Saccharomyces cerevisiae S288C: one gene and its partners. The gene in region 4 interacts genetically with the main gene of each other region. Each region holds a gene or a part of one and is shown on either strand. Other genes may lie near its edges.

Evidence for each region.
Region 1: mutations in SOA1 (region 4) and SUL1 impair growth when combined (synthetic growth defect), as found in Saccharomyces cerevisiae (one study listed by BioGRID).
Region 2: mutations in SOA1 (region 4) and MRH1 together harm fitness more than expected from each alone (negative genetic interaction), as found in Saccharomyces cerevisiae (2 studies listed by BioGRID).
Region 3: mutations in SOA1 (region 4) and SUL2 impair growth when combined (synthetic growth defect), as found in Saccharomyces cerevisiae (one study listed by BioGRID).

What each region holds. Positions count from the first base shown.
Region 1 is NC_001134.8:784,472-793,784, forward strand, and holds SUL1 (sulfate permease), read left to right. Parts: upstream 1-4,763; coding exon 4,764-7,343; downstream 7,344-9,313. Other genes in the region: CTP1 (Ctp1p), read right to left, coding at 1-101; YBR292C (uncharacterized protein), read right to left, coding at 231-602; VBA2 (Vba2p), read left to right, coding at 2,535-3,959; cation-transporting P-type ATPase PCA1, read left to right, coding at 8,378-9,313. UniProt on the Saccharomyces cerevisiae protein: High affinity uptake of sulfate into the cell.
Region 2 is NC_001136.10:503,955-511,429, reverse strand, and holds MRH1 (Mrh1p), read right to left. Parts: upstream 3,284-7,475; coding exon 2,321-3,283; downstream 1-2,320. Other genes in the region: LYS14 (Lys14p), read left to right, coding at 1-1,693; PST2 (flavodoxin-like fold family protein), read left to right, coding at 6,735-7,331.
Region 3 is NC_001144.5:320,535-329,484, reverse strand, and holds SUL2 (sulfate permease), read right to left. Parts: upstream 5,942-8,950; coding exon 3,260-5,941; downstream 1-3,259. Other genes in the region: GIS3 (Gis3p), read left to right, coding at 247-1,755; NYV1 (Nyv1p), read left to right, coding at 2,070-2,085, 2,227-2,972; GEP5 (Gep5p), read right to left, coding at 6,307-7,188; XDJ1 (Xdj1p), read right to left, coding at 7,405-8,784. UniProt on the Saccharomyces cerevisiae protein: High affinity uptake of sulfate into the cell.
Region 4 is NC_001141.2:28,239-36,170, forward strand, and holds SOA1 (Soa1p), read right to left. Parts: upstream 4,329-7,932; coding exon 2,700-4,328; downstream 1-2,699. Other genes in the region: YIL165C (uncharacterized protein), read right to left, coding at 5,480-5,839; NIT1 (Nit1p), read right to left, coding at 5,849-6,448.

The DNA of each region.
Region 1 (9,313 bases), on a different chromosome or scaffold from region 4:
TCAAAAGGATATGTTATACATGCTTCAGCAGCACCGGCTAGGGACCCTGCCAGAAACGAGTGCAATGGATCTACGTCACTTTTGGTAGCTTTACTGGACATCGGTAAAATGCTAATTTATAATTCAAGCTCTACTTTGGAGTTCTTTCATTGTGACATCAAAATGTTTTTAATTTTACGTTGGCTTCGACATTTTACGTTTTATATATCACGCTAAAGTGAGACTAAATTTCATTGTTCTTCTTTTTTTTTTTTTTCACTTCTAATAATTGAAAATTCCGCAGGAATTCTTCCATATTCTTGACTCTTCAGTAAGACTAACTTAATGGAAATAGAGAAAATAGTACATATTTGAAAAAAAAAAAAGAGGTGTTGAAATGATTTGAGAATATTAAATAGCTTACAAGCGTTAGCCGAGTTCCCAGACAGCAGAGTTTCTACCCTGTGCTCTTTGTTGGCGGCTTTATTGATGAGGAATATAAAAATGTAATTAGGCAAACCTACGCGCGAAAATATAAGAAGCAAAGATATAAAGTGTAGTATATTTGAATATTTACATGAACGAAACGGCGACGTATAATGGTAATCGGCTGGGAACTTCATTAAAAAGTCAAGATGTAAGTTACCTCTTAGTAAGAAGAGTTATTGCAGCAAGCTTAGTATCAATAGGGAGACTCTGTCATGTAAAAAAATAAATGAACACAATCATAACCTCTTCGACTGGGCTATTCGTTGTATAGTATATGTGGTGGAGTGTAATGAATGAAGTTCTCAGAAGCTTGAAAGCATATCAAAATCACGTATTGACTATGACAGATTCTTGTTTCTTGCTCCATTACTCCATTCGAGTTTTTCACAACTTTTGTCGTTCGTCTATAACATCTCTTTTTTTTCCCACTCTTCTAAAATATTGGCATAGCTGACATGTTTGGAACCGAATAAGCAATTACAATACGACAGTAAAATAAAAGCATGTTATTGCTGCTTGTAGAGAATTCCTGCATATGTAACTTTCTCATTCCGACGGGATAAGTTCATAAACTAATCAGCGATGAGTTGCGGAAAATTCGTCAATAGAATATTTTCCAGTCAGTGGTGGTCCCAGTGGCCTGCAACCTAATGGCTATAGTTCTGGATAATAAATTGGGCAAAGGTCAGTATAAAGAATGAATGTATCAGGCCGTAATTGAAGCTTTCAAGTCCAGGTGAAAGGCCAAATCGACAATTAGCGAAAACAGGATTTTTTTACCAACTTGAAATAGTGACTGCTGTCTTTTTGCCTGATTAAGTGGTTATATATTTCAACTAATATCACAACAAAAGGCCTCTCAAAATTTGTGGCGAAGTGTACATCCTGGGTGCTCAGGTAAGCGTCGTCTTCGTATTTTTTTTTTTTCAACAGTAGTTTGGAAATAATGCTCTTCGAGGAATGCGAGCGGAAATGTTATCCACTGTATAAGTCGATATTTTAAGGGACGCTAAATATATCATCATAGCTCGTCTATTGGTGGCTTCTCCAATTGCACTTTCAATGCATTATGGTAAAGTGTGGTGATAAGGCATAGTGATGTTTACAGAGGTCTGTTGGTTTCTCTGGGCTCGCTCATCATCCGACCAGTAACCTTGTGGGGTTTCACATATTGTTCTATGCATTATTATCACGGATTTGTGCCTGCAAATGCTGTTTCTTTGGCTTTTCTTTCTAAAAAAATTATGATATATATATTGTTCCTCCTTGTTTAACAGGCTTTACGGTATTGTGGATCCTAGTAATAGGCGTACTTTTCTTCATTTACATATTTGAACAATATATGTCTCACAAGTAGTTGACCGAATAGCGTTACGTAAGGGTCAAAAACCTTTTCAGAATTGTATATATGACATTTTTAGAACATGATATAATAAACAGAATATAAAAGAAAATAGAGACGACGTACCATGGCATGAAGAATTGTACTGATATCACATTGTGTTGAGCACTGATAGATTAATACTATATTTCTGCTAGGTGCGGGGGGTAACATGTCCTAATGTGTGGCAACCACATTCTAAGGCTCGGTAAGTGATGCGATATATGTGCATGTGTGGCTTTCTTCCTAATTTGCTATTAGATGATTGTGTGCAAATCCACAGAAATATACAATTTCGAGAATATATATACTAGTTATCGTTATAAGAACACACAGTATTGGCCAATTCTTGCCTCTGAATGGTACAAAATGCTTTAAAATGTAGTAAATGAAACATTAATTCCAAATCAGATTTTTTTTCGCAATGCTTAAATCTAGTAAACACAAAGTACTACCGAAAAGCAAGGATGGAAACTATGGCAGTATTGAAGAGACTGAAATTCCTTCTGTCGACTACAGTGAAGACTTAGATGAGGACTTGGACAAAGGCGAAGATATAGCGCTTTCAAGAATCCCAAATTGATGGATTATTGAAGCTACTCTTTTTTCTAATGTCTTTTTGTCCGGTTTTGACGGAACCGTTACAGCTTCGACGTACCAAACGATTGGTAACGAATTTAATCAGATGAGTATTTCAAATTGGATCACCACTGCGTATTTAATTACATCAACATCTTTTCAACCTCTTTATGGGTCATTTTCTGATGCACTTGGTCGAAGAAACTGCCTTTTCTTTGCTAATGGGGCTTTTACCATTGGATGTCTAGCCTGTGGTTTCTCGAAAAACATCTACATGCTTAGTTTTATGAGAGCATTGACAGGCATAGGAGGTGGTGGCTTGATCACACTTTCTACAATCGTAAATTCAGACGTTATTCCAAGTTCGAAAAGAGGAATTTTTCAAGCGTTTCAGAATTTACTTTTGGGATTTGGTGCCATATGTGGAGCGTCTTTCGGTGGCACAATAGCGTCGAGCATTGGTTGGAGGTGGTGTTTTCTCATCCAAGTACCCATATCTGTGATTAGTTCCATATTAATGAATTATTATGTACCTAATCAGAAAGAATATAATCGTCAAAATTCTAGCATATTCCAAAATCCCGGAAAAATACTCAGGGACATAGATGTTATGGGCTCAATTCTTATTATAACTGGTCTCACACTACAGCTTCTTTACCTGAGCCTGGGGTGTTCTACTTCTAAATTATCATGGACCAGCCCTTCTGTGCTACTGCTATTAGTTGGGAGTGTAATAATCCTCTTACTGTTCATATTGCACGAAAGGAAAACAAGTGCTAGAGCGATTATTCCTATGGAGCTGGTCAATTCCTCCTACAGTGTCGTTGTACTTTCGATAAGTATACTTGTTGGTTTTGCCAGCTACGCGTATCTTTTTACTTTACCATTATTCTTTCAGATTGTACTTGGAGATTCCACTGCAAAAGCAGGATTACGTCTTACGATTCCTTCCCTATTTACTCCGGTAGGCAGTCTCATAACAGGATTTTCCATGAGCAAGTACAACTGTCTAAGATTATTACTCTACATTGGTATTTCTTTGATGTTTTTGGGTAACTTTTTATTCCTGTTTATTGAAAAAACTTCTCCGAACTGGTTGATTGGTCTATTTTTGATACCTGCAAATCTAGGACAAGGTATCACTTTTCCTACGACCTTGTTTACTTTCATATTTATGTTCTCTAAGAGTGACCAAGCTACTGCGACATCAACTTTATATTTATTCCGTAGTATTGGATCTGTATGGGGTGTTGCAATTTCAGCTGGCGTCATTCAATTATCTTTCGCAGGTTTATTGCGTAGTAATTTGAAAGGTCTACTGGATGAAAACAAGATAAAGAAACTTATTGTTCAGCTTAGTGCAAACTCCTCATATATTGGATCTTTACATGGCGAAGTTAAAAACACAGTCATAAAGAGTTTTGATGAGGCAACAAAGAGGGCTCATCTAATGTCTACATTACTCTCTTCATTGGCCCTGATACTCTGCATCCTTAAAGACAATCTGGCGAAACCTAAAACAAGAAGATAAACAATATATACCTATGCCCTTGACCGACTCAATTGATACATTAACAGTATTGAAACTAGATATTCTACTTGACACTAAACTTTTTTTGTATTTCGTGGAATTGCAACGTTTCTAATTGACCGACAGTGCTGAACTGTGAGCGAATGCAACTATCTCTATAGTTTTTTTATCCTCTGTAAACTTTAACTAAATACATACTACTTTCATAATCTGTGAATAAGATGTGGCTGTGATAACCTAAAATAGTCACAAACCAATGAAAAAAGGCTTCAGAAAACTTGCTGTAAAGTCCCCCCACTTTTTTGTGTTACCGCCACCTCGAGTGCACTTTTTTTAATAAAGATCTCGTGTAATTGTCCAAATCTGACTTTTTCTTATAGTCTCGCTGGAACCACAGTGCGGCTTTGCAATTTTGCAAATCGGAATTTGAGTCACAGATCCCAGAAAAACTCCACACCTTCCCCACGCAGCAAGCGATAACGAACAAGTTGTCAAATTAGACCCATAATAATTTTGAACACTTCTACCTGTTCATGTCTTTTCTCGAACACTGTCATTTGAAATTATGCACTGTGAAAAAAAGAAACAAAGACCAAAAGAATAATATAAATAGTGAAGTAAAATGTGTTGTAATGCACATGGATCTTGTACTGCTCAAACTTAATATTTCTATTGTAGAAAAATTTTCGATTTAAAATTGTGAAACCGATTATATAAAAGTATATTAGCTGACATTAACGTCTCAAAACCAGGTCAATAGCTTTAAAAATAAAAATAAATCCCTGCAGAATACTCGGAAAGAATATGTCACGTAAGAGCTCGACTGAATATGTGCATAATCAGGAGGATGCTGATATCGAAGTATTTGAATCAGAATACCGCACATATAGGGAATCTGAGGCGGCAGAAAACAGAGACGGACTTCACAATGGTGATGAGGAAAATTGGAAGGTTAATAGTAGTAAGCAGAAATTTGGGGTAACGAAAAATGAGCTATCAGATGTCCTGTACGATTCCATTCCAGCGTATGAAGAGAGCACAGTCACTTTGAAGGAGTACTATGATCATTCTATCAAAAACAATCTAACTGCGAAATCGGCAGGAAGTTACCTCGTATCTCTTTTTCCTATTATAAAATGGTTTCCTCATTATAACTTTACGTGGGGCTATGCTGATTTAGTGGCAGGAATTACAGTTGGCTGCGTACTCGTGCCCCAATCTATGTCATACGCACAAATCGCTAGTTTATCTCCTGAATATGGTTTGTATTCCTCCTTTATTGGTGCGTTTATATATTCTTTGTTTGCCACATCGAAAGATGTTTGTATTGGTCCGGTCGCTGTAATGTCACTACAAACTGCCAAAGTCATTGCTGAAGTTCTAAAAAAATATCCCGAAGACCAGACAGAAGTTACAGCTCCTATCATTGCAACTACCCTTTGTTTGCTTTGTGGGATTGTCGCCACTGGGTTGGGTATACTGCGTTTAGGCTTTTTAGTGGAACTTATTTCTCTAAATGCTGTTGCTGGCTTCATGACCGGTTCCGCATTTAACATCATCTGGGGTCAAATTCCGGCTCTCATGGGATACAACTCATTAGTGAATACCAGAGAAGCAACGTATAAGGTTGTAATTAACACTCTGAAACATTTACCAAACACAAAGTTAGACGCCGTTTTTGGCTTGATTCCGTTGGTAATCCTCTATGTATGGAAATGGTGGTGTGGTACATTTGGTATAACTTTGGCAGATAGATATTATCGAAATCAACCAAAGGTAGCAAATAGACTGAAATCCTTCTATTTCTATGCACAAGCTATGAGAAATGCCGTCGTCATAGTAGTTTTTACTGCCATATCGTGGAGCATAACAAGAAACAAATCTTCAAAAGACCGTCCAATCAGTATTCTGGGTACAGTTCCCTCGGGCTTAAATGAGGTGGGAGTTATGAAAATCCCAGACGGTCTGCTATCTAATATGAGTTCAGAAATACCTGCTTCAATTATCGTTCTGGTGTTAGAACACATCGCTATTTCAAAATCCTTTGGTAGAATTAACGACTACAAGGTTGTCCCTGACCAAGAACTTATTGCGATTGGTGTGACAAATTTGATAGGGACATTTTTTCACTCATATCCAGCAACTGGGTCATTTTCCAGATCTGCTTTGAAAGCAAAATGTAACGTGCGCACTCCGTTTTCTGGGGTATTCACTGGCGGTTGCGTTCTATTAGCACTTTATTGTTTAACTGACGCCTTCTTTTTCATTCCTAAAGCGACACTATCGGCGGTTATTATTCATGCTGTTTCTGATTTGCTGACTTCTTACAAAACCACCTGGACCTTCTGGAAGACCAACCCGTTAGATTGTATCTCATTTATCGTTACAGTGTTCATCACAGTATTTTCATCCATTGAAAATGGTATATATTTTGCAATGTGTTGGTCATGTGCAATGTTACTATTGAAACAGGCTTTCCCTGCTGGTAAATTCCTTGGTCGTGTTGAGGTGGCAGAAGTATTGAACCCAACAGTACAAGAGGATATTGATGCTGTGATATCATCTAATGAATTACCTAATGAACTGAATAAACAGGTTAAGTCTACTGTTGAGGTTTTACCAGCCCCAGAGTATAAGTTTAGCGTAAAGTGGGTTCCGTTCGATCATGGATACTCAAGAGAATTGAATATCAATACCACAGTTCGGCCTCCTCCACCAGGTGTCATAGTCTATCGTTTGGGTGATAGCTTTACTTACGTGAACTGCTCAAGGCATTATGACATTATATTTGATCGTATTAAGGAAGAAACAAGGCGAGGCCAACTTATAACCTTAAGGAAAAAGTCAGACCGTCCATGGAATGATCCTGGTGAATGGAAAATGCCAGATTCTTTGAAATCACTATTTAAATTTAAACGTCATTCAGCAACAACGAATAGTGACCTACCGATATCGAATGGAAGCAGTAACGGAGAAACATATGAAAAGCCGCTACTGAAAGTCGTCTGCCTGGATTTTTCCCAAGTTGCTCAAGTGGATTCAACCGCTGTTCAAAGCCTGGTTGATCTGAGAAAAGCTGTGAATAGGTATGCGGATAGACAAGTCGAATTCCATTTTGCCGGAATTATATCTCCATGGATCAAAAGAAGTCTTTTGAGTGTTAAATTCGGAACTACAAATGAGGAATATAGTGACGACTCTATTATCGCTGGCCATTCTAGTTTTCACGTTGCAAAAGTTTTGAAGGATGATGTGGATTATACTGATGAAGACAGCCGTATAAGCACATCTTACAGTAACTATGAAACATTATGTGCTGCAACTGGGACAAATTTACCGTTTTTTCATATCGATATACCCGATTTTTCTAAATGGGACGTTTAGTGTAGTAGATAGTAAGTACTTTAATTACCCCCCCTGTTTTTAGTTATACATGAAAAGATAATTGTGTTATTAATGTAGATTACCATCAAATAGCTGGAATATTTATTATTTTGAGTATGTTGAATGGCGAAAGTAAAAATAAATTTTATAATTTCCTGAAAGCATTAGTACACGAAAAGGGCCGTTTTCAGTAGTTTAAGGCGCTGAAAAGACATGGTCTAGAAGTTAACTTGAGCTTGAGCCTATTTTCTACAAATGTCCTTTGAAAATACAAAAATAAAAATAAAAATGCATTTAAGTATTAAGCTTATGCTAGATAGAGCAACATTTTCCTAATTTTTTTTGAATTTATTTCATGGTTTTTAGGCGGAAAGAGTTTGGACGGCTTGTCTCTCCTAATGTGGAAGAAATTATGTTTTGTTATGAATCTGAAAAGAAAAATACTATTTTAGCAATACAATGAATTTTAAAAAGTTACCCTGTACTTTAATCCTTCAATTAAAACACTTCTTAAAATAGTATATTTTGAAGATCATCGATATATATACAGAGGCAGTTTTGCAAGGCAGATAACGTTATTGAGTTGTATGTAGGCTGTGTGATTTTAATCTCATAAATCAATAATGGAATAATTTTCTTATTGTTAATATCGATTTATATTTTCCAACAATACAATGAAGTAAGTACTATTTCTATTTGGAAGGAATTCATTCCCCATTTTAGCTCCTCGAGCGGATGAATCCATCACTGTTTTGAAGAAAACCAACAAAGTGTCAAATAGTTGTCTTTTTGAAATTGGTTCTGAAGAGTTTTCGGAAAATGATCTGATAACAGGCCTTTCTAAAAATATAAGGTTGAACGAATGTATGGGTTAGGTAATCAAAATTTAGGCGCCAACAAGGAATTTTTCTTTAAAATCGCATGAAAAGCCTACACTTGGCATAAATAAGGTGCAATTATAAATATAAAAGCAAGATATTTTCGAGATGCTTCCAGGATTTATACAATGAAAGAGCCCAAAGCTGCTGATAACGATGAAGCCGGAAAAACTCTTCTCCGGTTTAGGTACCAGCGATGGCGAGTATGGAGTGGTAAATAGCGAGAACATATCAATAGATGCTATGCAAGATAATAGAGGCGAGTGTCATCGTAGATCCATAGAAATGCATGCTAATGACAATCTGGGATTGGTCTCCCAGCGAGACTGTACCAATCGGCCCAAAATTACTCCTCAGGAATGTTTGAGTGAGACTGAGCAGATATGCCATCATGGCGAGAATAGGACTAAGGCTGGGTTAGATGTAGACGATGCTGAAACCGGTGGTGATCACACCAATGAATCCCGTGTAGATGAATGTTGTGCTGAGAAAGTGAACGACACTGAGACTGGCTTGGATGTGGACAGCTGTTGCGGCGATGCTCAAACAGGTGGTGACCACACCAATGAATCCTGTGTTGATGGATGCTGCGTTAGAGATTCTTCAGTGATGGTCGAGGAAGTTACAGGCAGCTGCGAAGCTGTATCTTCTAAAGAACAATTGCTGACCAGCTTTGAAGTTGTTCCAAGCAAATCTGAAGGTCTGCAATCTATTCATGATATTAGAGAGACAACTCGCTGCAATACCAATTCCAACCAACACACAGGGAAGGGTAGGCTTTGCATCGAATCAAGTGACTCTACACTCAAGAAAAGAAGTTGTAAAGTTAGCAGACAGAAAATTGAGGTTTCCAGTAAGCCTGAGTGCTGCAACATTTCATGTGTTGAGCGGATTGCATCTCGTAGCTGTGAAAAGAGGACTTTTAAAGGTAGCACCAATGTTGGAATTTCTGGGAGTAGCTCTACCGACAGTTTAAGCGAGAAGTTCTTCAGCGAACAGTACTCTAGAATGTACAATCGTTACTCCTCAATTTTGAAAAATTTAGGTTGTATCTGTAACTATTTGCGTACTTTGGGAAAAGAATCTTGTTGT
Region 2 (7,475 bases), on a different chromosome or scaffold from region 4:
TTCGTCATGCAAGGCTGAGAAGAAGAAAAAAGTACGACAAAATTTAAGTGAAGACACCACGGACCCTAAACCGATTACAGATAACGGCAAGAATGTACCTTTGGATGAAATAGAATCCCTAGAGATTCCAAATTTGGACCTTACCACCACAATGAATGGATATGACGTTAATTTACTAATGCAGAACTTGAATGATATGGTTAATATGAAACTTCATGACTCTTACTTATTGAATGAAGAACTGAAAGGATTAGATTTGCCCGATTTGGACATACCTGAACTTTTGCCCGCTTCGAATGTGAACAGTAGCGTACCAATATCCTTTCTGGTGAATAATGTAATAACTTTCAACACAAAACTAAGCTCGTTCAAACTAGGTGGAATCCACGATAAGTATCTAAAGATATTTTACTACGATTGCTTAGATTCTATTGCGCCCTTTTTCCAAAATCAAGGGAACCCGTTAAGAGATATCTTACTTTCATTTGCGAAAAACGAGGCCTATCTTTTATCTTCCATATTAGCTACGGGAGCATCTATAGCATATAGAAAGTCTAATAACTTGGAAGATGAACGAAACTATTGTGCTTATTTGTCACATTGCCTGAGCCTGTTGGGTGAACAATTCAAGAATGAGTCAAACGTTTTAAATAGGATAGAGCCTATCATCCTGACGGTCATCATGCTTGCATGGGATTGTATTTATTCAATGAATTCTCAATGGAGGTCTCACTTAAAAGGTGTAACTGACCTTTTTAAAAAAATCAATGCCGGGAATTCCTCCAAAGTACTTAACGTTGCAAAATGTTGGTTTAAAGTTATGGAAACATTCGCCAGTATAAGTACGGTATTTGGCGGATCTTTAATTGATAATAATGACCTTGATGCAATTTTTGATCCATATGATTACCAATATGTTGACTCGTTAAAATTTTTAAATATTATGACTCCACTAAATGAGTTTAATCTTTTAAGAGGACATAAAGAAGATTTCGATCTTGTTATTAAAGAAGTTTTCAAATCACTCAATACAATTAGGTCAACTGAAAAAAATTACTTTTCTAAAGAAGAAGGTTTGTTCACTAAGAAATTAGACTATCTGCTTTTATCATCCCAAACTTCGTCCGAAAAGTCCAAAGACCAGATATCATATTTCAATACGCAGAAAATTCTAGTGGAAATTGACAAGCAATTAGATTACGAATTTATTGACAAATCTGGAATTATACCCTCAGACAATCAGTCACACCCTAGAATTAGTAATATTCATGATAATGCCATCGATATGGTGACATTAAAGAACGGTGAAGAAGTTGCCATCAGCTGGTATGATATTTCTCATCAGACACAAGTTTTATCTTTCTTATTAATTGTATTATTAAAACTTTTAGGTATGCCAAAAGAGTCAAGTACCATTCAACAAGTGGTCAAGAAAATCATGTCTTTCTTCAAATTCTTAGACAGTGACTCGCCGCCACAAAATTCAAGGACTTGTTATAGTAATTTTGCTGTATTGATTGCAGGTTTGAATGCAATGGACGAGGAAACAAGAGCGATTGTTAAAAGATATTATAAAATCAATGGTGGAAAATTTCAAAAGCTCACAGAACATAATCTTAACAGACTGGAAAAGGTCTGGTATGGTAAAAATCAAAATTACAGGTTAGAAGAACAAGACGTTTTAACATGGTAGTTTGTCTGTTTACGTAATAATTTTGCCTGTAGATTGATATAAAATTGTGTACGGATAATTGCACTGGCACGTCAAAAGTCCGAGAACTATTTTTCTCGAGAATGCCGCGCAAAGCAGGCACCGTGCCTTTATCTTTCTTTTTTTTCCTCCAGCACTAAACCTTCCATAACAATACTATTAGAAAGGTTGTTATCAAATATTAAAATAACTATTAAAGTGATACAAATATATATATAGATGACGATGGGCATAAAAAAGCTCGTTTCTAATCATCAACTATACGTTTCTTGATCAAAATGCACTGAGCAAAATATTGTTATGAAAACATACTTGCTTGACGAAATGGATTAAATGGATCCATTAAATTAAAAAATGAGTCTAGAATTGCACTTTATGATAGAAAATAAAAATTCGACAAGAAATGGTGATAATTTAACGAACGAAAATATTGAAACGTCAGGAAAATAAAATAAAATATGATAAAAGTTGAAGATGGAGTAAAATAATCTTGTCAAATAATCAATAAAGACAGTTTTATCCATTTATAGGATTGGCTTGAAGTAGAAAATTCTTCAAAGATGATTGAAAGAAAGAAGAAAGTAGCACATAATTGACATGACGATTGGCTTATTCTTCAGACTTCTTAGACTTCTTAGATTTCTTGCTCTTCTTAGACTTCTTTTTCTTGTCCTTACTCAAGTTTGGTGTAGCAGCAGGTCTTGGACTAGCAACTGGAGCTTTTGGAGCCATCACTGCTTCGGCATCACTAGGTCCGAAATGGTAGCCCAATTTGTCAGCACCGAAGTGGTTAGCAATTGGAACCAATAAAGTTGGAATGAAACACATCAAAATAAGATCAATGATACCATAGAAAATACCGGCAGAGTCTGGCTGCAAAACGTTACCACCATCGGTAATACCGAAACAAGTTGGGTAAGCAATAATCCACAAGAACATAATAATGCTGAAGAAAACAAGGAATGTCAACCTGATATCGTTATCTCTTTGTTTCACCAAGTTGTAACTGGTGGTCATAACACTGATACTAACGACAATAGCAGCACCTAGACCGATGGTGTAGTAACCCCATTTGTAAGTGGAGTGAACACAGGCAGCGATCAACCAACAAACAGTGAAGAATTCAGTAATACAAACATTGAAAGCCATTTGCCAGAATGGGGTACCAGCTAGCATACAGATTTGAATAATTGGCCATGGCAAAGCTAAGAACCAACCAACGAATCTAGAGTAGAAGATTTGTCTGTAACCTGGATGTTCTTTTTGAGTAGAAGTTTGGACATGGTTGTACTTAGCCTTGACTGGAATCCAACCTAAGTTAGAAGCCATGGTGAAATAAGCGATACACATGAAAAAGTTTGGAGCAATACCGGTAAGGTAAAAGAATCTGTCATTGACTGGTTTTCTGAACATTAAGAATGTTAAAATTAAACCAAATAATAGGTAACAACAGAAACATGTCCAGAACCAATCGGAACCACGACTAGTGATGTGGAAATCCGCACCGGTTGGAGGGTTAATTTTGATGGCTTCGTTACCACCTCTTTTAATTAAAGTTTCAAAGGTAGACATTGTTATTTTTCTTCTTTGTTCTGTGGGTTAAAGGAAGATGATTAGATATTAAGTGAAATTAGGTATTAGTTAAAATTAAAGCAAAAAATTAATGTTAAAATAGGGTCAAAAAATTGGATGTAGAGAAAGAAAAAGTTATTGAAATAATAATATTTTTGTTCGAGGAAACTTTTTTTTTTTCTGAGTTTCTTTTATTATTCTTTTTCTTCGCAATGTTTCTTAACAATAAGGACAAAAGATAGTGACAACGATCTAAGAATTAAAATAAGCTTAATAATAAATAAAAAGAAGAACTTGAAAAGGGAAAAAGAAGAAATAACGAGAAGTGGGAAAGAAATAAGGATATATCTTAAGTTACCGAAAAAGACACTACTTATAAATGAAGAAACCAGGTGAAGAGATCCTTTGTTTTACGAAGACCGTATTTATACATTTCCCTTCATGTACATGTGTGATAAATTGGAAAACCACTTCTGGAATTAAACTGCTTTTTCTGACATCCTTGTGCAGTCGTTACTGCGATTATTTACATCTTTACTGATTCGTATGAGTGTTTATTTCCATTTTGCCTTTTTTGTCCAGGAAAACTAGAGATGCCGATTTTCGGTTAACAAAAAAAGTCCTGGTGAGGGAAAAAAAACGCTATTTTTTTTGCTCACCGCACTAAGAACTAGCCGGAGAAGACTAAGCTAGGAAAGGGATGGAACAGATGACGACGAAGAAGATTAAGTAAAAAAGGTAAAGGGAGACGAGATGGTGACAAGTATCTCTTTTTTTTATTGCCTTTTTCATATTACCTATTACCGCAAACTGATATATTTCTCAAAGGAGAAATAGTAAAGTGGAAGAGGTTTGGGTCTCTTGGTAACCGGACTACATTTGCAAGTTGCATCTTCCATCGAAGTATTAATTCCCTCCATCCTCTTCTCACTAACACCGGCACGATTTTAAAAATTTTTCAACTCCGTTGTTGAATTACGTATTCCTCTTTATGGTAAGCGCTAAGATGAACAGCGCTGAAAAGCAAAATTTGAATGCTTGAAATTCAGAACATGACTATTCGTTCAGTACTCGCTTCATTTGCATCCTTAGTTAATTTGGCCTGAATTACTTTTTGAATTCAAGAGATAGTGCATAAAATGCGGCCCCCCTTTCCAGCTTCCATAAATTGCGCTGATTGCATGTCTGACTAAGCTTTTTTTTTTTTTTAAGCGACCTTGTCTCGAGGAGCATAATAAAAAAAAGGGAGTAAGGTCGGCGGCAGTCGCTTTTATTAAACTGAAGTAAAACAGAACAAAAATTACTTAAGGGTCGCTAATATTACCCTTATCCTCTCAACAAAAGATAAGAAATTAATTGACCTATACCTATAATACCTAATAAACCCAAAAGTGTCTTGCTCTGATGTATTTGTTTTTTTTAACACAACCTTGCTACCTTAGGCCATCGAGAAGAGATTGAGGTCAAAGTGGAAGCGTTGGAAAAGAAGGAAGACCCATAGTATAATGAAGCTAGTTACCATCCTTAGACGACGCCCATATTTTTCAATTTCTCTTATTTTTTTTTTACGCAGCGTAGCAGTTATGGACAAAAGCCGGCCTGAAACAAGATTGAGATTAAATGAAAGGGCGTCTGCTTGTATATGAACTCAGTCGTCCACTCTTTTTAAAGTACTCTACTTATATAAAAAAAAAAGATAGGGATTTACAATGTTAATTATTACACGCAGCATCTAGCGTATGATTGTATGTCCCGAATGCCCCGTTATTACCCAATAAAGCAAATTAATACGGTCTTTTTATAAAGCTGTGCTTCTTTTTCGGGGTAGTTTTTCCGTGAAACCCGTAGATGGGAACAAGAAGAGCAAAAAACCCTTTTTTTTAAATAATCCGAGAGTTTGACAACTTGTAAAAAAAAGCGCAAATGTCGGCGCGCCAAGTTGAAAAGTCGCTCAGAGAAATGAGAGGTAATACCGCGTTCCCAAAACAAATAAACAAACAGAGCAGCCAATCTGCGTGGAAAGTAAACCAAAAAAGCAGAATCACTTGAATCAGGCGGTTTTCTTCGCTTACTCTATACGGAGCCTAAATGCAAAAAAATAGATATTTTGTACTATTCTAAATCGGAGGCCTTCTCTGTGTTCTCAATTTTTTGTAAAGGCATTGAAATATGAAAACAAAATTAGGTGTATGAGCATGAGCACATCGAAGTAATTTAGATTTCTTTATTAATTATGCATGTAGTACACATTACCGCTAACCTTACATCTGCATAAGATCTTGCATCTTCAATAAAAACTCTTTCGCCTTGACTGGAGCATTCAAAATTAAGCGCCTTTTGCTCGCTTCGCAGATTTCTACAATTGAGATAGCATTGCTGTGAGCGCCCTTGCGTGAATCTATATCGTGAAAGAGAAGATATTATGACAAAAAATTGAATGATTTTGCGGGGCCATACCAAAATCCTTTCATGAAACAAGAGTTATTCTTTTAAAAGAAAGCGAACTATGCTATTTATCTTTACGTGTTACATCCAAAATCATTGCCGTAATTTTGTAGGAAGCGCAAAGTGTGTGATTAAAGCATTTGCTATTCTTTTAATTTCCCTTTCCTCTTTTGTTTTGTTTTTTTATATTTTTGCCTATATTCTTCTTTTTCTTTTTCTGTCTTGGGACGAAAGACAACAAAAAAAACCACCAGTAGCAAGAAATAAAAGAAGAGCCACTTAAATCGAGATAATATCTAAATACAACTTTTTATCATGGCAAGAAGAAGGAATATTTCTTGCAAAAACGTGAAAAGGAGTATACTACATAATCGTTGGACTGTCATACTCCGGATGTAGTTTTTACTATTTTGATTATCAGTAATATATCTCCTTTTAAATGATAATTATATATATATATATATATATGTACTACTAATAATGACAGTGTGACCTGGGTGGTTCGAAACATCTAGCGTAACTTAATAGTTATTGGCTGCCACCTCTTTGGCCTTGGAAACAGAGGGACTCATGCGTTTTGATGAGTGTCCAACTTATTAAGGTGCGTGCGCCTGGCTTGTTTCCCTGGATAACATTATGGACTTAAATCGTTTTACTTGTGGCTTTTGCGACGCTGACTGATTCATTATTAATTTTTCCTATTGCCGCTCATTGCGATCGCTTACCCGTCTCTTGACTGTCTTAGTAAAAAATTAATAATTCTGCGGGGCTGCACCTGCGCAGTGTATTGGCAAGCCTTGGCTTCGTTAGCAACCCCTTTCCCACAATTGAGTACAGTTACTCTCTGGACAACAATAAAATATATATAAACGTCAACGAGCGGCAAAACGATCAATGCATTTGGCCTTATTCTTTTTACTGTTTTTCTCATATAATTAAATATCGTCGAATAATATATTCAATAAATCATCACCACTCTCTAGTTAAAAGAATCCAATTATATACAATGCCAAGAGTAGCTATCATCATTTACACACTATATGGTCACGTTGCTGCCACCGCAGAGGCAGAAAAGAAGGGAATTGAAGCCGCTGGAGGCTCTGCAGACATTTATCAAGTCGAGGAAACGTTGTCTCCAGAAGTTGTTAAGGCGCTTGGCGGTGCTCCAAAGCCAGATTACCCAATTGCCACTCAAGATACGTTGACAGAATATGATGCCTTTTTGTTTGGTATTCCAACTAGATTTGGTAACTTCCCTGCTCAATGGAAGGCTTTCTGGGACCGTACCGGTGGGTTGTGGGCTAAGGGTGCTTTGCATGGTAAGGTCGCTGGTTGTTTCGTCTCCACCGGAACTGGTGGTGGTAATGAAGCCACAATTATGAACTCTTTGTCTACTTTGGCTCATCACGGTATCATTTTTGTCCCATTGGGTTACAAGAATGTTTTCGCTGAATTGACCAATATGGATGAAGTTCACGGTGGTTCACCATGGGGTGCGGGTACCATTGCAGGCAGTGACGGTTCAAGATCTCCTTCCGCCTTGGAATTACAAGTACACGAAATTCAAGGCAAGACTTTCTACGAAACCGTTGCAAAGTTTTGAAATAATTTGAAGTATTACTTCTCCTACCTATGGAAATGAATGATCCTTTACCGAAAATTATTCTGTGATGAAAAAAGGACTGCCCGTCAGGTATACCTAAGTATCTTTAGAAAATATATATACTTTAAATACAGTAATTTCTTC
Region 3 (8,950 bases), on a different chromosome or scaffold from region 4:
TTTCGTCTTTTTTTATCCGGTTTTTCGTCAGTGGCCATCCTTAATGCGCGGCAAAGGTGCTGAAGGCGCCTTATTGTGTTAAAAAAGCCAATGAAATAAAAGTGGGATGGTGAGAACGCCAAACGAGTGAAACAGAGAATGGAAACTCGCTTCTTCACAAGTATTTGATGGCTAGTTTTCTCAATTACTTGTTTCTTTGGATAGACACGAACATACAGAACACTTTCAACAAGACATAATTATAGAATGCTGCTGGACGTGAACACAAATCACACACTAATGCACGATGCTCATGTGCATGAACATTGCCTCATCAAAAGCATACGTGATGATGGCGCATTGCACTCATGGAGCGACTCATCAAAGGTATTTTATCCCAAGTCATTTTACGCTACCGCTACTAATAAGAAGAATAACAAGTTAGCCAGCGCCAGCATGAACAAGACCGCCACAAGTAATAGGACGGTGAGCGATGAGATTTATTTCCACTCCACTAAGCCGCAGTTCGATGGTCAAGGAAGCGCTGAACGTACTAGAACACTAACCAAGAGGAATAGCTTCAAGAGGACTAGAATACTGAAGGCTCGAGACGATTCCGAACTGCTGAACGAAAATCGCTCATCTTTGATGACCCCGTCCTTAAGCTCGGTCATGTCGCAAGTTAGGAAAACAAATTCCGCCAAGACGTTATCGGGCGAATGCCCCATACATGAGGGCCACTTAACACAGAGCATAAAGAGGAAGTTCTCCGAGGAAGCTCAAAGCGACTGTTCTTCATTGAGCTCCTCTAAACTTCATCCCTTGACAGATGATATTGCTGACGCTGTCGATTTGCAGACCCCCGCGATTGGCGATGAGGTACTGGCTGAGCCGGTCGTGCCCAAAATGAAAATAATAAACATAAATGATCTCGATTTGTTCGACGACTGGGAGGTTAAGGATTTAGTCGATATCTTTCCTCCCGTATACGAACGGCGTCCGCGATCGTCCTCTGCCCTTTCACTGGTTTCTGCGTCGTCCGATGCCAAACTTCGTCCGACCTCTGTGGACTTCCAAATCATCGACAAGAAAGGCGGCAAGACTTCAAGAAGGAAGAGTAGGAGCAAATCGACTACAGAAAACATGATTTACGAAAATGACCTGGTAGAATTAGAACAATGGCCATCTGCATCACCATCGCCCGAGACCGACGGTTCGATTGCATCTAGCGAGCTCTTGCCCAATAAAAGAATAAGACAAAAAAGTTTGAATACCAATTTCCTAAAGTTATACTCTATTGAAACATCATGTAAAAGGAAGAGTATTTTACCCGAAGTCGAAGTAGATGACCATCTGTTGAAGCAGCTAACGTATTCCGAAATTCGGTCTTTGGAAATCAAAAAGGAGCCAAATGTCTCTACGAACGATATTAAGCTTGCCCTAATTACTAGGAAAAAATTATGGTCTGACATGGTCCATGAAACAAGAAATGATCTTTTTGGCGATTCTACCCCCTGGAATTTGCACTTTGTTGCAACGACAAGCAATACGGAACCTTCGCAAGGCCGTGAATCCGCAAGCGAACATGCAACGGCGGATTTGAAAAGTTCTTTGGTCCGCGTACACTCAGACGTCAAGCCATGGTTCAACAATGGCGGCACAATGCTCAAACCATGCGGAAAACTAAATTTAGGCAAAGTCACCAATAAGACTTCCGCACCTACGAGAGAGATTCAATATGTCGTAAAGGGCTGGTGTGACAGCAGGTTTCTCTGATAGACCCCCCACCTTTTCATCGCCTTCACCCCACCCATTTGCATTATCTAAAAATAGTAAACTATATATTCTACCACCACATTCATTATATATAATATTTAAAACAACGCATTACCACCAAGCGCCCGGGTAATATTCGCCTCAAACGATCGAAGAAAGAAAAAATGAGGTCACAATAATGATGAAAAAAAGCCCCTCTATGAATTTTCTAGCACTTGACTAAGTTGGAGCAACAGCTATTAAATTTGAAGAACAGAGTGAAAAGCGACAATTTATTAAGCTGTTAGAGCATTGGACTTTTATATTTTTACCAAATGAAACGCTTTAATGGTATGTATAAATATTTCTACACAATTAACAAATGTTTAAAAAAGGGATTATGCGAATGCTCATCCCCCCATGCCATAATTTTACTATGTTACATTCAGTAGACTAACGTTCCATTTTGCTTGATTTTGCATATGGTCTTAGTAAGTTATGTGGAAGTTATAAAAAATGGTGAAACAATATCTAGTTGTTTCCAGCCGTTCCAGAAAAACGAAAACTATGGTACAATAACTTCAGCAAACGAGCAGATAACGCCGGTCATTTTCCATAATTTGATCATGGATATGGTATTACCCAAAGTAGTTCCGATCAAGGGGAACAAAGTTACCAAGATGTCAATGAATCTCATCGACGGATTCGATTGTTTCTACTCCACGGATGACCATGACCCCAAAACTGTGTACGTTTGCTTCACATTAGTAGATATGCCCAAGATTTTGCCCATCAGGATACTAAGTGGGCTGCAGGAATACGAGTCCAACGCTACAAACGAACTTTTAAGTTCGCATGTAGGTCAAATACTAGACTCTTTCCATGAAGAGCTGGTCGAATACCGTAACCAAACTTTAAATAGTTCTGGAAATGGCCAATCTAGTAATGGGAATGGTCAGAACACTATAAGTGACATCGGGGATGCCACCGAAGACCAAATAAAGGACGTCATCCAGATAATGAACGATAACATCGACAAGTTCTTGGAGAGACAAGAAAGAGTTTCTTTATTGGTGGATAAAACTTCCCAACTAAATAGCAGCAGTAATAAATTTAGGCGCAAAGCGGTCAATATAAAAGAAATAATGTGGTGGCAGAAGGTCAAAAATATTACGTTATTAACTTTCACTATTATACTATTTGTAAGTGCTGCTTTCATGTTTTTCTATCTGTGGTAAGTAAATAAAAAAAAAGGGGAGCTGTCCCACGACAATAACATTAATAACGGTTGTATTTCTTTTGTTCCTGAGAGGAAGAGAAAAATAAAATAAAAATAAGGTAAATATTTATAGGTATGTATATGCTCACGATGGCACCATCCTACCTATTATTTCTTATTATATAAACAGTGTCTATCTCATTATGATATTAAATGTATACTTTTAAGGGGGAAAACTTTTTGGTTTAGGAATATAGAAAAAAAGAGATGATATAAATGTTTGCATGTCCATTGTAAATGCATTGGCTAGATATCCCATTTAGCAAAATCTGGGATATCGATATGGAAGAAAGGTAGATTTGTTCCTGAAGCGGTATAAACGCTATATTTTTCAGGATTTTCTTCGCCTTGAGGTACTCTGGCGACGTGATAACTTGTATGACCGGCAACAATGGATTCATCACTGTATTCTTCGTTCAGAGTACCAAATCCTCTGCTAATTAAACCTCTCTTCACCCATGGTGAAATGATACCCACAAAGTGGAATTCAACTTGCCTATCTGCATATTGATTTATGGCCTTTCTCAAATCAACCAATGATTGAAGAGCCGTAGCGTCTGTCTGTGCCACTTGTGAGAAGTCTAAGCATAGTATTTTCAGCAATGGCCTGTCATCTCTTTCAACATCGACTGAGGTGCTGGGCGCGTTTTCCATGGATTCAGGGTCGTTCTCCCTTTTCTTCCAGAATTTCAAATTCTTTAAGAAAGCAGGTGCTTCCCATGGACCAGGATCATTCCATGGACGGTCAGATTTTTTTCTGTGGCGAATTAATTGACCACGTCTGGTAACTTTTTTAACTTCTTCGGTTATGATGTTGTAGTGTCTGGAACAGTTGAGATAGGTGTAGCTCTCTGATAGCCTATAAACAAGAACACCGTCTGGTGGGGGGAGAATCTGAACGTCCGGGTTCAATTCTCTTGTGTATTTATGATCAAACGGTATCCATTTAGTATGGTATTTTATCCTTGGCTGGCTAATCGAAGAAGATGGAGAATCAAAGCCCTTTGTTTGAACGTTTGTTTCTATTTTCTTGGAGGAATTTGTGACGTATTTGGTGGAACTTTCCTTGTCATCCTCACCACCATCTTCTAAAGTGGAAATACCATTGTTATTTTCAGACACGTAGCTAACCACATCGGAGTCCGGTCTGACGTAAGCATCAGTAACTTCAGCGACTTCCACACGACCCAAGAATTTTCCCGCTGGGAAAGCCACTTTTAAAATGAGCATTGCACATGACCAGCACATGGCAAAATAAATACCATCTTCAATAGAGGCAAATACCGTTATTAGGACGGTGACAATGAAACAGATGAAGTCCAATGGATTCATCTTCCAGAAATTCCAGGTAGTTTGATAAGAGGCCAAAAGATCAGATACAGCGTGAATGATAACTGCAGATAAGGTAGCCTTTGGAATGTAAAAGAATGCGCCGGTCAAACAATATAATGCTAAAAGAACACATGAACCCGAAAACAAACCAGATAACGGCGTACGGACATTACATTTAGCCTTCAAAGCAGACCTTGAAAAGGAACCAGTCGCTGGGTAAGCATTGAAGAAAGTACCTAAAAGGTTCGAGACACCAATAGCAATCAATTCTTGGTCGGGGACGACTTTATAGTCGTTGATTCTACCAAAAGACTTCGAAATAGCGATATGCTCCAACAATAACACAATAATGGATGCAGGCAAATTTGGACCAAGCTTAGACATTAATCCTGGTGGAACATGGAAAACCCCGACTTCTTTCAAACCGGATGGAACTGAGCCTAGGATGCTGATGGGCCTCTCCGATTTAGATTTGCCTCTTGTGATTGCCCAACCAATACAAGTGAATACAATAATAATGATACCATTTCTGGAAGCCTGAGCGTAAAAATATGTCCATTTGATAATTTTGTGTAACCTTGGGTTTTTGGAGTTGTATCTATCGTTCAACCTTGGTCCATATGTTCCGCACCACCATTTCCAAACATAAAGAAGGAAAAGCGGGATTAGCCCAAAAACTGCGTCCAGTTTGGTATCTGGTAAATGTTTCAAGGTCTCTATGACCACTTTATAGGTGGCAGCTCTCGTGTTAACCAAACTATTGTAACCCATTAGTGCTGGAACTTGACCCCATAAGATATTAAACGCGGATCCAGTCATAAATCCAGCGACTGCATTTAAGGAAATCAGTTCGACAAGAAACCCTAGACGCAAGAAGCCAACTGCTGCCGAAATGATACCACATAGTAACGCTAGAGTCGTTGCAATAACGGGACCAGTTATGGCAGAATCTCCATCAGGATATTTTGCCGTGACATCCGCAATGACTTTGGCGGTCTGCAAAGACATGACAGCCACGGGCCCAATACAAACATCTTTTGATGTAGCGAAAAAAGAGTAGGAGTAAGCACCAATAAACGAGGAGTACAACCCATACTGCGCTGGTAGCGTGGCGACTTGTGCATATGACATGGATTGCGGCACGAGAACACAGCCAATGGTAATTCCTGCAATAAGATCCGCAGTAAACCAGCTAAAATTGTAATGTGGTAGCCAGTTGATGATGGGAAAAACACTCTTAAGATAACTACATGCTCCTTTCACCGTGAGATGAGATCGTATACTGTGGTCATAGTACTCTTTTAGCGATACCGTTGTTTCTTCAAATTGGGAAACGGAATTGTCATACAACGAGACATCTGAAGGATTAAAGTAGTCAATCTTCGAGCCTTTTACGCCCTTTGAGCTGTTCACTGCGTTGTGCTTTGCTACAGAATTGCTCTCTAAGTCCTTATCATTAAACGTGTCATTATTTTCATTATTTTTATATTGGTCATACTCTAATTCTAAATCATCAAGATCTGGAACGGTGTTGTTAGTTTCCTGAAAGTCAGGAATTTCTACCTCTTCAAAGTTTGGATAACCTTCCCTGGACATATCTTAGATAATTCCCTGCTAATCTATACACACACACACCTCAAGAAAGAAAAATGTTACAGAAAGATAAAAACTTCCAGGCTTTAGTACGAGCCTAACCTGTTCAAGTATTGTGTTGATACCTTGATATATATATATATGCGTATTATTGAACGCAGAACACTGAACGGCAGATCATCCCTCAACCGGCTATGACTAAAAACTGGACTTTGGTTCAACCATACCGCTATCCGACGTTGCTAGTTTCTGCGATCTTTTTCAGTCCTTGTTTAGGACCACAACTGTGGCCGAATTTCTCTCTTCACGTGACCTGACACGGCCACAGTGGCACGTGACATTTACTCCAGTATAACAGCCAACAACAACTAATCAACTTCCCACCGGGTGCAATGAAACATCAAAGGCTCCGTGGTGGAGTCGGCATTAGTAGTCGTATATGCCCTTGCACAAGCTCGCATATAGAGCCTTCTAAGGCGTCGCTCTACAGTCTCGTCATAGAAGACGGCAGTCAATGCCAGCTCGTTCTCAGGAGAGAGCGGGGGGTTTTCTATGAAGAGGCTCTTGTAAATATGAGACAGCTGTCTTGCGAAAAGTTGGGCAATTTGTTTGGCCGGAGAAACTTCGCCAAGAGCGTTCCTGACAGGAATTTGCACGCCAGGGGAGGGGTATTTTTTGTGATTGTAGCTTAGATGACTGTTCGCTATTAAAAATTTGTAGTGGTTTCCAAGAGAATTTATCAGGAATATCCTCTCTGGTGTGAAGGTATCAAGATCTGTCCCACTCAGACGCATTAACGATGGCGGCGTTTGGACCCAAGGGTTTTTAACGTTAAACAGTGTTATCCAATCCGCCTTCAGCCAGACGCTCCTTGAAGACGTTGAATTTAGTTTCCCATTGTTTACAGCGATGGAATCTACCAAGTCTCTGTGGTTCTCAAATGGCCAGTGAGTCAGTAGAAAGTGGTAGTGTTTTTGGAAGAGATGCGCATGTCGTGGGAGCGGGTTATTCCATTGGAAGTGCGTTTGGTAAATGATACTCTCCAGTGCTTTTAAGCTTGCCCTTAAATCTTGTCTTCTTTGCGCCTTCTCGTACAGTTGTAGTGATTTTGTTAACGGCACGGCTATTTCTTTGAACTTGTAATCGCTTTGTTTACTTGTGAGTGTGGTCGTCAATGCTACCTTGGTTATTTGATGAAGCGGCGTAGACTCTATGACCGGCAGTAATAAGGCGTTAACCTGGGACGCCATTGTTGCTCCAAGTTCGCAATCGCTGTTCTGATAGAAGGCCTTTGTATGCTTGCTTTATGTCCGCCGCGATGGGGATTCTTCCTATTTTTCTACTGAAGGTGCGAAAGACTTCATTCTTCACCGCATTCAGTAAATGAATTTCATATATATACATATATACAGGTAGGATAACTTATGAAAAAAAAAAAAAAATAGAATAAAAAGTTATTGATGCCATCATTGGATACAGCAGTACGAACTTCTTGCTTTCTGATGCGCTGAATCCTGTGCTTCTGGCTTGAACGGCCTTATCCCTTCTGGAAGATCGTCCGTGTGAATGATCCGGAAATTTGATATAGTTTCGTTGTTAGTCAGGTTGCTGTCATCTTCAGTATTTACAGTCGCATGTGAGGCACAAGATGAAGATGACGGCAGATTCGTTTTTATTGCTAGTAGTTCTGATTTTTCATTGAACCAGTTATCTGGTGGAAATTCAATATGAACGAAAACATACAGATCGCCGCACCGGCCATGAGGGTTATCTAAAATGGGCCAACCTTCATTGGCGATTTTGATGGTGTCACCAGGTCTTACTACTCTGCCAGGTTTAACGCTCAATGTTAGTAACCTGTCGTCGAAGGTTTTTGTCAAAAATTTCTCAAATCCCGTCAAGGCCTCGCTTAACGATATGGTAATGCTTGTATACAAATCTTCCCCGGCGCCGTCGTCAAAGTTCTTCAAAAAGATTTGCTTCTGCTCCAAGTTTTCTTGTTTTTCAGTGAGATGGAACTTTAAATCACCACATGTGGTCTTATCGATTTCCTCGTCCGCCATCCCCTTGACTGTAATTACGTCGTTAAAGTGGTGTCCCGGAGCCACGTTCACTGTGATGATTTCCTTCTTTGACAGGAGCCCCAAGCCTGCGCAATCGGGGCAAAAGTTCTTTGGATTCTTGGGTCTTTTAGTGTACTTCCCCTTACCATTACATTTCTCACAGACCACCCATTGCGAAGCTACCAAACCGGGACCAAACCTCTTCAGACGTTCCTTTGAACCCTTTCCAGCGCATGATTCACATTCCACATCGTGTGTAACGTGAATTTTCCTCTTTGGTTTCCAGCCAGAACCGTGGCACTTTATACAGATGACCTGTCTCTTTAAATCAAACTTCAGCTTCTTGCCCATGTACAAATCCTTCAAAGTAAGAGATATATCGATATCGATATCCTTAGAGCTTGTAGAGTTGCCCTCTTCGTACGCATCATACTCGCCAGGGAAATTATTTCCATCGTGACTTCCATTATTGAAGAAATTGTTAAAGAAGTTCATAAAATCTTCATCTCCAAAGCCATTAGCGCCACCGCTGCTAGCGGCACCATTATCATCACCATACAAGTCGTAATGTGATTTCTTCTCCGGATCGCTCAAGATCTCGTAAGCGGCAGTGATCTCTTTGAATTTGATTTCATTTACCTCCTTTGAGTCTTGATCCACATACTTGTCCGGATGATGTTTCAGGGCAAGCTTTCTGTAAGCAGTTTTAATCTCTTGCACGGTCGCATCTCTCGTCACCCCCAACACATCGTATAACCGGTCTCCTCTATCACTGCCACTCATTCAAAACTACACCTGCGTACTTACTTTTCCCTTTCTTTTGGGTCCAAGCGGCATATCTCTTAAGATAAGATAAGCCTGACTCTTTCTTTGCCTCTCTGCCTTTCTTTCTTCTTCCCTTCTGCAGAGGATGGCTCGTCGCTACTCAAATCCCGACCCAAGAAACAAA
Region 4 (7,932 bases):
AGTTGTAATTACTTGCTGTTATATCTCGAGCTTCCACCTATATTGCTTTCAACACAAAGAACCTTTTGACGGTCTTGGGCTAGCTCCTATTTTTGGACCCTTGCCCATCACAGAACTATGAGAAAAGCAGTACGTCTTGACTTTAGTGCATGCTGTACATCCTAGACTGTAACTGATTCTTCACAGACCTTGCCACATAAAACTACAGATATCCCCGTTTTCTTGGTTTACGGTTGGCATACCTTCAAAATATTAACAGTCAACTATTAAACGAATGATGCCCTACCTTATTTACATTCTTTATATATATATATATATAGCATTAGTTTACAAATACCGTACATGCCATTCACCTTGACACACCCATAACGGTAATTCAAATCAAATCGTCATCGTTTGGGCGGAATCATATCCTCAAATTCTTGACATTGCATAGCGTAGTATATATGGTATTAAGAAAGCTCGTACAGCATAAGATATCAGGTTCTTTCTTTGAACATTATCGAACGCTGTTAGCCTCTTGTAGTATTTCCCCATTGGGCTAAACGGCAATGTCCTTATCGTAGTTAGAATATGGAAAAATTACATAATTTCGAAACTGGAAATGATGCTAGATAAAAGTGGAAGATTACTAAGCGTAGTATATTAGCCGGAAAGAATTCATATATAGTCATGAAGACATTTTGAAAAAATTACATTTATAGAAGTTTATTATAACGTAACAGTTAACAACAAAGGCTCATAGTCCGAGATCAATATAATAAATTATTCAAGGTTTAAGGAAGAAGTTACCATGGAAATGACTTACTATGAAAAGACACCTTTGATTCGTCAATTTTTGAACAATGGTAAGACAAATTCGTGGTTTTACGTTAAGCATGAGATGTTACAACCAGGTGGAAGTTTCAAATCGAGAGGAATCGGGCATTTGATAAGGAAGAGTAATGAAGAAGCGCTAAGCGAGGGTTCTGGGAAGCTTGCTGTATTTTCTAGCTCTGGGGGAAATGCTGGTTTAGCAGCAGCAACTGCCTGCAGATCGATGGCACTTAATTGCAGTGTAGTGGTTCCTAAAACTACAAAACCTAGAATGGTAAAGAAAATTCAAAGTGCAGGAGCCAAAGTCATTATCCATGGTGATCATTGGGGGGAAGCAGATGAATACTTGAGGCACGAATGAATGGCGCAAGAAAGCCAACATGGTTCGAAGACACTATATGTGCACCCGTTTGATAACGAGACAATTTGGGAAGGTCATTCTACGATTGTGGATGAAATCATAGAACAATTGAAGGAAAATGATATATCCTTACCTAGGGTGAAAGCTTTGGTTTGTAGTGTTGGTGGTGGTGGGCTATTTAGTGGCATAATTAAAGGCCTAGATAGGAATCAGCTTGCTGAAAAAATTCCGGTCGTTGCTGTAGAAACTGCCGGTTGTGACGTATTGAATAAGTCTCTCAAAAAAGGTAGTCCAGTTACTCTTGAAAAATTGACAAGTGTTGCAACTTCTTTGGCCTCCCCATACATAGCATCATTCGCGTTTGAGAGTTTTAACAAGTATGGATGTAAGTCTGTAGTTTTATCAGATCAAGACGTTCTGGCAACATGCTTGAGATATGCCGATGACTACAATTTTATAGTGGAACCAGCCTGTGGAGCATCCTTACATTTATGTTATCATCCAGAGATTCTTGAAGACATTCTGGAACAAAAAATATATGAGGATGATATCGTTATTATAATCGCATGCGGTGGATCATGTATGACGTATGAAGACTTGGTGAAAGCGTCGAGCACATTAAACGTATCATAATTTTCAAATACACACGCGATCTTAGAGCAATAGAAATGGATCGCGATCTATCTATGTACGTTCGGACTTATTAAGATGTGTTTCATTTTTTTTCGTTCTAGTCTTTTTATTGGATGGTGGTCTGGAAATTCAATCTACTGATACTACAGTATTAAAGCAATTAAGCACCTAGGATGAAGCTCCTGCAAGTAGCTTGGTAGATGAGAAATGTTAAGCGGATAGTAACGCTGAAGCTATGCTATGCCATAATAATTTATAAAAAAATCAATAAAAAAGAGTGTATATTGATATTACTAATATGTAGAAGAAAGAATTAACTAGTATAATTCGGAGAGTAGTAAAGAAAATTTTATTTACATATGAATGTAGAAATTAATTCTACGATTCACGCGGAATATTGTGAAATCTTGAGATAAGAAAGTTGCAAGAGATCACAAATGAAGGTTATCTGCAAACAGCATAAACAGATGACACCTTATGAATGTAAGGTAACATCGGTAGCTTAGCGCGTTGACCTGTGAGCTCCTACATAGAATATTTGTGTGCTTGGGGATTATTTGAGAAGCATTAGGCTGGTTCAGAGGAATATTTACAATTGGTCATTGTATTTTGATATCAATTACCGAAGATTTTGGTGTTATTATGTTCAAAAACTTTTTTTTGTTTCCGTGAACACACAATTGCTGTCACCTGCTTTTGTGGTATAGCAGTGCAAAACTACTAAAAAGCAATAACATCCCATGACCTTTACCTTAAAAACTCGAAAAAAAAAAGTTTTTGCATTAACCTTTTGTTGCTCTGGTGTAATAATTTTTTTTGATGTATGACTTCTCGCTTTTGCGTGTAGCATTACTCTAACAGCAAAAATTTTAATACACGAAAACTTAATCTAGTGAATAAACCTATAATCAAGACGCTTCATTCCCTTATCTTTAGTTGTGTCCAAGTAATTGATCTGCTCTTCTTTTGTCATAGAGTTCCATTTGCGGTCCTTGTATTTATTCCTACTAATATAGTAAAACTTAGTAGCAACAGCCATACAAATGTTGAAGCAAGTGAATCCTAGAAGTATTTTGTTACCTCTAGTATAGTAAGGTTTATCATCATTTCTATACATGTTAGAAGCAATGATTGCTCCAACTTGGGCACTCATATTGTATAACGCTGTGCCCACTGTACGCGATCTTACCGAATTTGAAATCTCGGAGACCCAACCAGCAAGAATGGAATGTGTATAGGGAAGACCAAGTATACCGGTTAGTAATATATACTTGATCCAGGGGTTTGTGTCAGTCGGTAAAGCGACCAGAGAAACTATGAAAGGGAGCACCCAAACGTTGGCAATTCCCACACAAAGTGATTTTTCTTTCAATTTACGCGATAATAGTGCCGCTAATGGTAAATTTATTAGCAGCAGGGCTTGGCCTGGAATTGCTAAAATGTTCGAAAGAAATGTAGAGTAATTTAAACTCTTTAATATCAAAGATAAATAGGAACCAACTGTTTGAAGAGATATGAATGCTGTAATACCTTGGATAAACAATGGCCATAGATCAAATTCTGTTAGAGTGTACAAAATCTCCTTGAAGGTAACTGGTTGTCGGTTACTCATGTCACCCTTTGATGGGTCATCCCTTAAAATTCTGTTAACCATAATTTTCTCCTCATACTCAGTGAATAACGATTTTCCTTTGTGAAATGCAGACTCACCAGTTTGCGTAGGTCCTCTACGCATTAAATAAAAGGATGCCACGCCAACAGAAAGGGACAGAAACCCTTCAATTATAAATAGGTACTGCCAGCCAGCTAAGTTATGAATACCCCTCATCTCTATGATTCCGGAAGCTAAAAGAGAGCCTAAAATTTGGAAAAGAGGTATAGCACACCAAAAGAAACTTAGGCGGAATGTGAGCTCAGCTCCAGTATAATAATATGACAAGTATAGAATATTGTCCGGGATGAACCCGCCCTGTACCATTCCTAATAAGCATCTAGTAGCAATAAATTGACCTCGATTTTTCAGACCAGCTTGAGTAATACAAATTACACTCCACAACACAATTTGAACCGGAATGACCCTTTCTGGACCAAATCTTTTGGACAGCAGATTGCCGGGTAGTTCACTTGCTAGAAATATAACTAGATAAACAGTTTGGCCAAGGTTGTAGTCGTTCGTGTTCATTTTCAAGTCAACAATGAAGTTGTCTGAAACTGCCCTTGCAATATTTTTCCTTATTAAATCCAAAAAGGCAAACATAATAAAAACCCACAAAAAAATCTTCAAGTCCATTTTTCTTACCAATTTCTTTTCCTCATCCTTTGTCCATGTAAACTCAGGATCGAATTTAGACAAGCCTTCATAACCACTGGATTCATAGACTTTTCTCCAACGCTCTGCTTTATGAAAATCGTCAAATGGGTTATGTGAAATACTCTCCGAATCTGATGTTAAGCTTTCTGCGGACACAGATAATTGGGCCTTTTCTACAATATCGTATTCTTCTTTTTGTACGGACATAGATGAAACTTTGTTTGTTGATTGAATTTTTTATTAATTGTTTGTACAATAAATAATTTCAATAATCAACAATTGAACGCTGCCTTTTTATACTAAATGATTCAGTAGAAGACGAACCTAGCGCAGGGAATACGTCATGTATTTGATAGTAAGCGCCAAACCTATTAGGCAATAAAGTGTGACAAATTGGTAGCATTGATAGTTATTCCCAATTGACCCATAGGCTGTTGAAATGAAACCATCAGTATATGTTGAAACCTCAAGTGAGGCGTCAACCTCTAAGTGAGGCTTCAAGCTTCGCCAACTATTATATATGCCACATGACTGCAGGGTCCTTATTTTAAGGAGCTAGCTGCAACGACTTTGTGCTGTAAAGGGGTGCAGCAGCAAATGTAGCCTATTTGCTCGAGGTTTTTCTTTCTTACGAGAATGCTAGCAATTCAAGATAGTACGTTGTAATATGATGCATTTCGGCACAATTATCCGAGAAACGGACTATTTCGGGATTATATCGATCCGAAATTCTCTGCGTCGAGCCGAATGCCAAGGAAAAAAGTTCAGAGAATGACTACAAACAGCCTTGGCGACGGCAAAAGTAAGCTTGGTAAGAATGGCTTGATCCACACGGTGATTCTTGTATCGGGTCAATGCATAATTTTGATTGTGAAAGGCGCAATTATTAAGGCTGCATTCTTTAGCTTGTCTTGACTCCTACCCGTCATCGTACAATCTCCACATTAAAAAATATCACGACATTTATAAATCTTCTTCACACCGGATTAAACAAAAAAACTGTGTTAATCGGATCCGGGAGAAAATGCTAATATCTCCTTCTTGTTTGTGAAATGATGATAACTGGGCTGTTGAACGAAAATGAAACTTCTCAAATACACCTATTTATTAATAAATGTTAATTTATATTTTAAAAAAAGGTAAAAATTAAATGATCAGGTTTGCGATCCTGATTTCAAAATCATGGCTTGGATTATATCTTAGAGACGTATGGATTTCAAACAAATGCCTATTTGATTGAATATTACAGATCTACATTATCTCTTGTACATAAAACATTATATAACAGACATATTGATATTAACGAATATTTTCGAGCCACCATTCATGAAAGCCTAGTTAATGGATTTATGCGGTATTCATTTCGTAAACTTGACATCGTGTGACCTTTCATTGACAGTCAACTGGAAGACATCTCCCCTAGCATAATGTCCGACAGGGTCAAGATCAAAGCGAGCTTCAGCAATCAAGTCAGTGTTAATTTCGGCGGTTAAAAGGCCCTCCTGCCCTAGCAATGGCCCTGCAATAATCTCTCCATAAGGATCAATAATAACACTACCTCCATTAATACAGTTGTCGTCAGCAGATGGCCATCCAGGTAATTTTCTCTTACCTGTAGCTTGGTCAATAATCTCCCCAAAGCCCATTGCTGTCGCATCTGGCATGAACTGCACTGCACTAATCAAGAATAGACGACCTTCGTATGCAATATTTTTCATCACAGTCCTCTAAATAGGCCTAGCATCCACCGTTGGGGCACACCAGATCTCAACCCCTTTTTTATACATGGCGTATCTCAGTAGAGGCATCATGTTCTCCCAGCAGATAGCACCGCCAATCTTCCCAGCAGCGGTATCCACGACAGGCAGAGTCGAACCATCGCCTTGACCCCATATCAGTCTTTCGCCAGCTGTCGGCATCAGTTTTCGATGCTTCCCAACGTAGCCATCTTTAGGATCTATATAAACCATGGTACAATATAATGTCGTCCCATCGCGCTCTATACACCCCACACATAAGGATGCGTCGGTGGCCTTCGATAGTGCGCACAACTGACTAATTTCTGGATATTTCTCTCCGTTTCCGATCTCAATTGCTTCGGCAAGATACTTAGCATACTCCTCCCTTCCTTCTTGAAGACGGTAGCCTAGATAAACCCCAAAGTTCGATCCCTTTGGATAACCACCAAGAGTGGCTTCTGGGATAACGACCAACTTGGCACCAGATTCCTTGATCTCCTTCTCATATGACAAAATTTTTTTCAAGGTATCCTTAGTAGAGCCCGGACAAGAGCCGATTTGAAGGGCAGCAACAATGTGTTTCGCCATTGTGGTTAACTAGAGGTAGCCTCGAAAAGTGATTGGCTAACCCTAAGTCATAATATCACCCTTTCTTATTGAAGAGCTTTTATTATTTATATACACTGCCCTTTATGAGTCACGGAGGCCTGGGCTCCATTTTTTTTACGAAGCAAAAAAGATAGCTCATATTTCGTAAGCATTAGGCCAACTTTACTGATAACCGTTTTCAAATCGCGGTGGGATTAATATAATGTGGCGTTCATAGTGAAATGTGGCTCCAAAGTATAAGCGTAAATGCGTTTGCTTATCGAACCGCAAGTAACTTGTAATTTCACCTCTATAATTTCGAGCGGTTTTTAAGATACACCATGTTTCAAGTAACCACCTTTCGCCTTTTTCCTCTGTTATCGAACTTCCATCTGTAAAAAGTTCGCTTGCAGAAGAAAAAAGGCACTACACGGAAGAGGACTGATAATTAATGAAAATCAAGCTATGATCAAACAACTACTGGCTCTAATATATGGTTTCGGCTACATAATCTAATTGTCATATCTGTTATCTCGACACTCGTCTCTCGATAAACGAGTTCTTCACTGTTGCTAGGTGCAGTGGTCGGCCATAGTTATCCATACAAAATTCCAATTTCTTACGCGCATAGCAGTCGATACATGCAAACATCTCGACTATTCTGGCGATAGCAGTACCAACAATCACCAGCACAAATTTTGTCACCTGTGCTTTGCTAGAGTTACTTCAGTACTAATTAGATTATAATATTTTGCAGCATTTATTGGTATAGAAAGAAAAGCTCGAGCACTACCAACTTTTATCTGATATACCGAAAAATGCATAAATATCTTCTCTAGTTTGTGCGTTTTCTTGTCGCCCTACCTCACAAAAGAGAAGTACTGATGGCTAATAATTGTTGGATCGATTCATTGTATCTCTTAAATGTCAACAGAGCATAAGTCAGACTCTTTGCCATTTTTAAAAAGCTGCGAAGGCGAACGTGACTACGGGGTGCGGGTTTTTGTATTGCTAATGTAGCATGACAGCTTATCCAATGTTTTGTTGTGTTCATTCAAACTATTTTGAGCCTCACTTCAATTTTGTTTGACTACTAACATGGCAGCATGCGTCGTTTCTAGGTGCTAGCCAGGCTGTGAGAACGTAAAATTAGCCTATGTTCAACATTCTCTGCTTTTCAATGTCACTGTTCATTTTGTTACTATGAAAGTAGTTCGTCGCAATTTGTACTTTTCTTCGAAAGTCTTCTTTTGCAGTAGATGAAGTGTGTTCTGAGAAATTGATGCTTTCAAATGGCCTTAAAAAATTTTTGTATCATAGCTAACAACATACTGTTGCGCCAGGGGAAGTGAAATCATGGTTGTATATTACAATAGCATTATGTGCATTTACCAAGTATGGAAAAGCGGAAAGTGTGAAAGAAGTTTATGAAAAAAGCGGAAAATAAAAAAAAAAAGTTTATTTTCCTGTGACTTCTGGGAAGC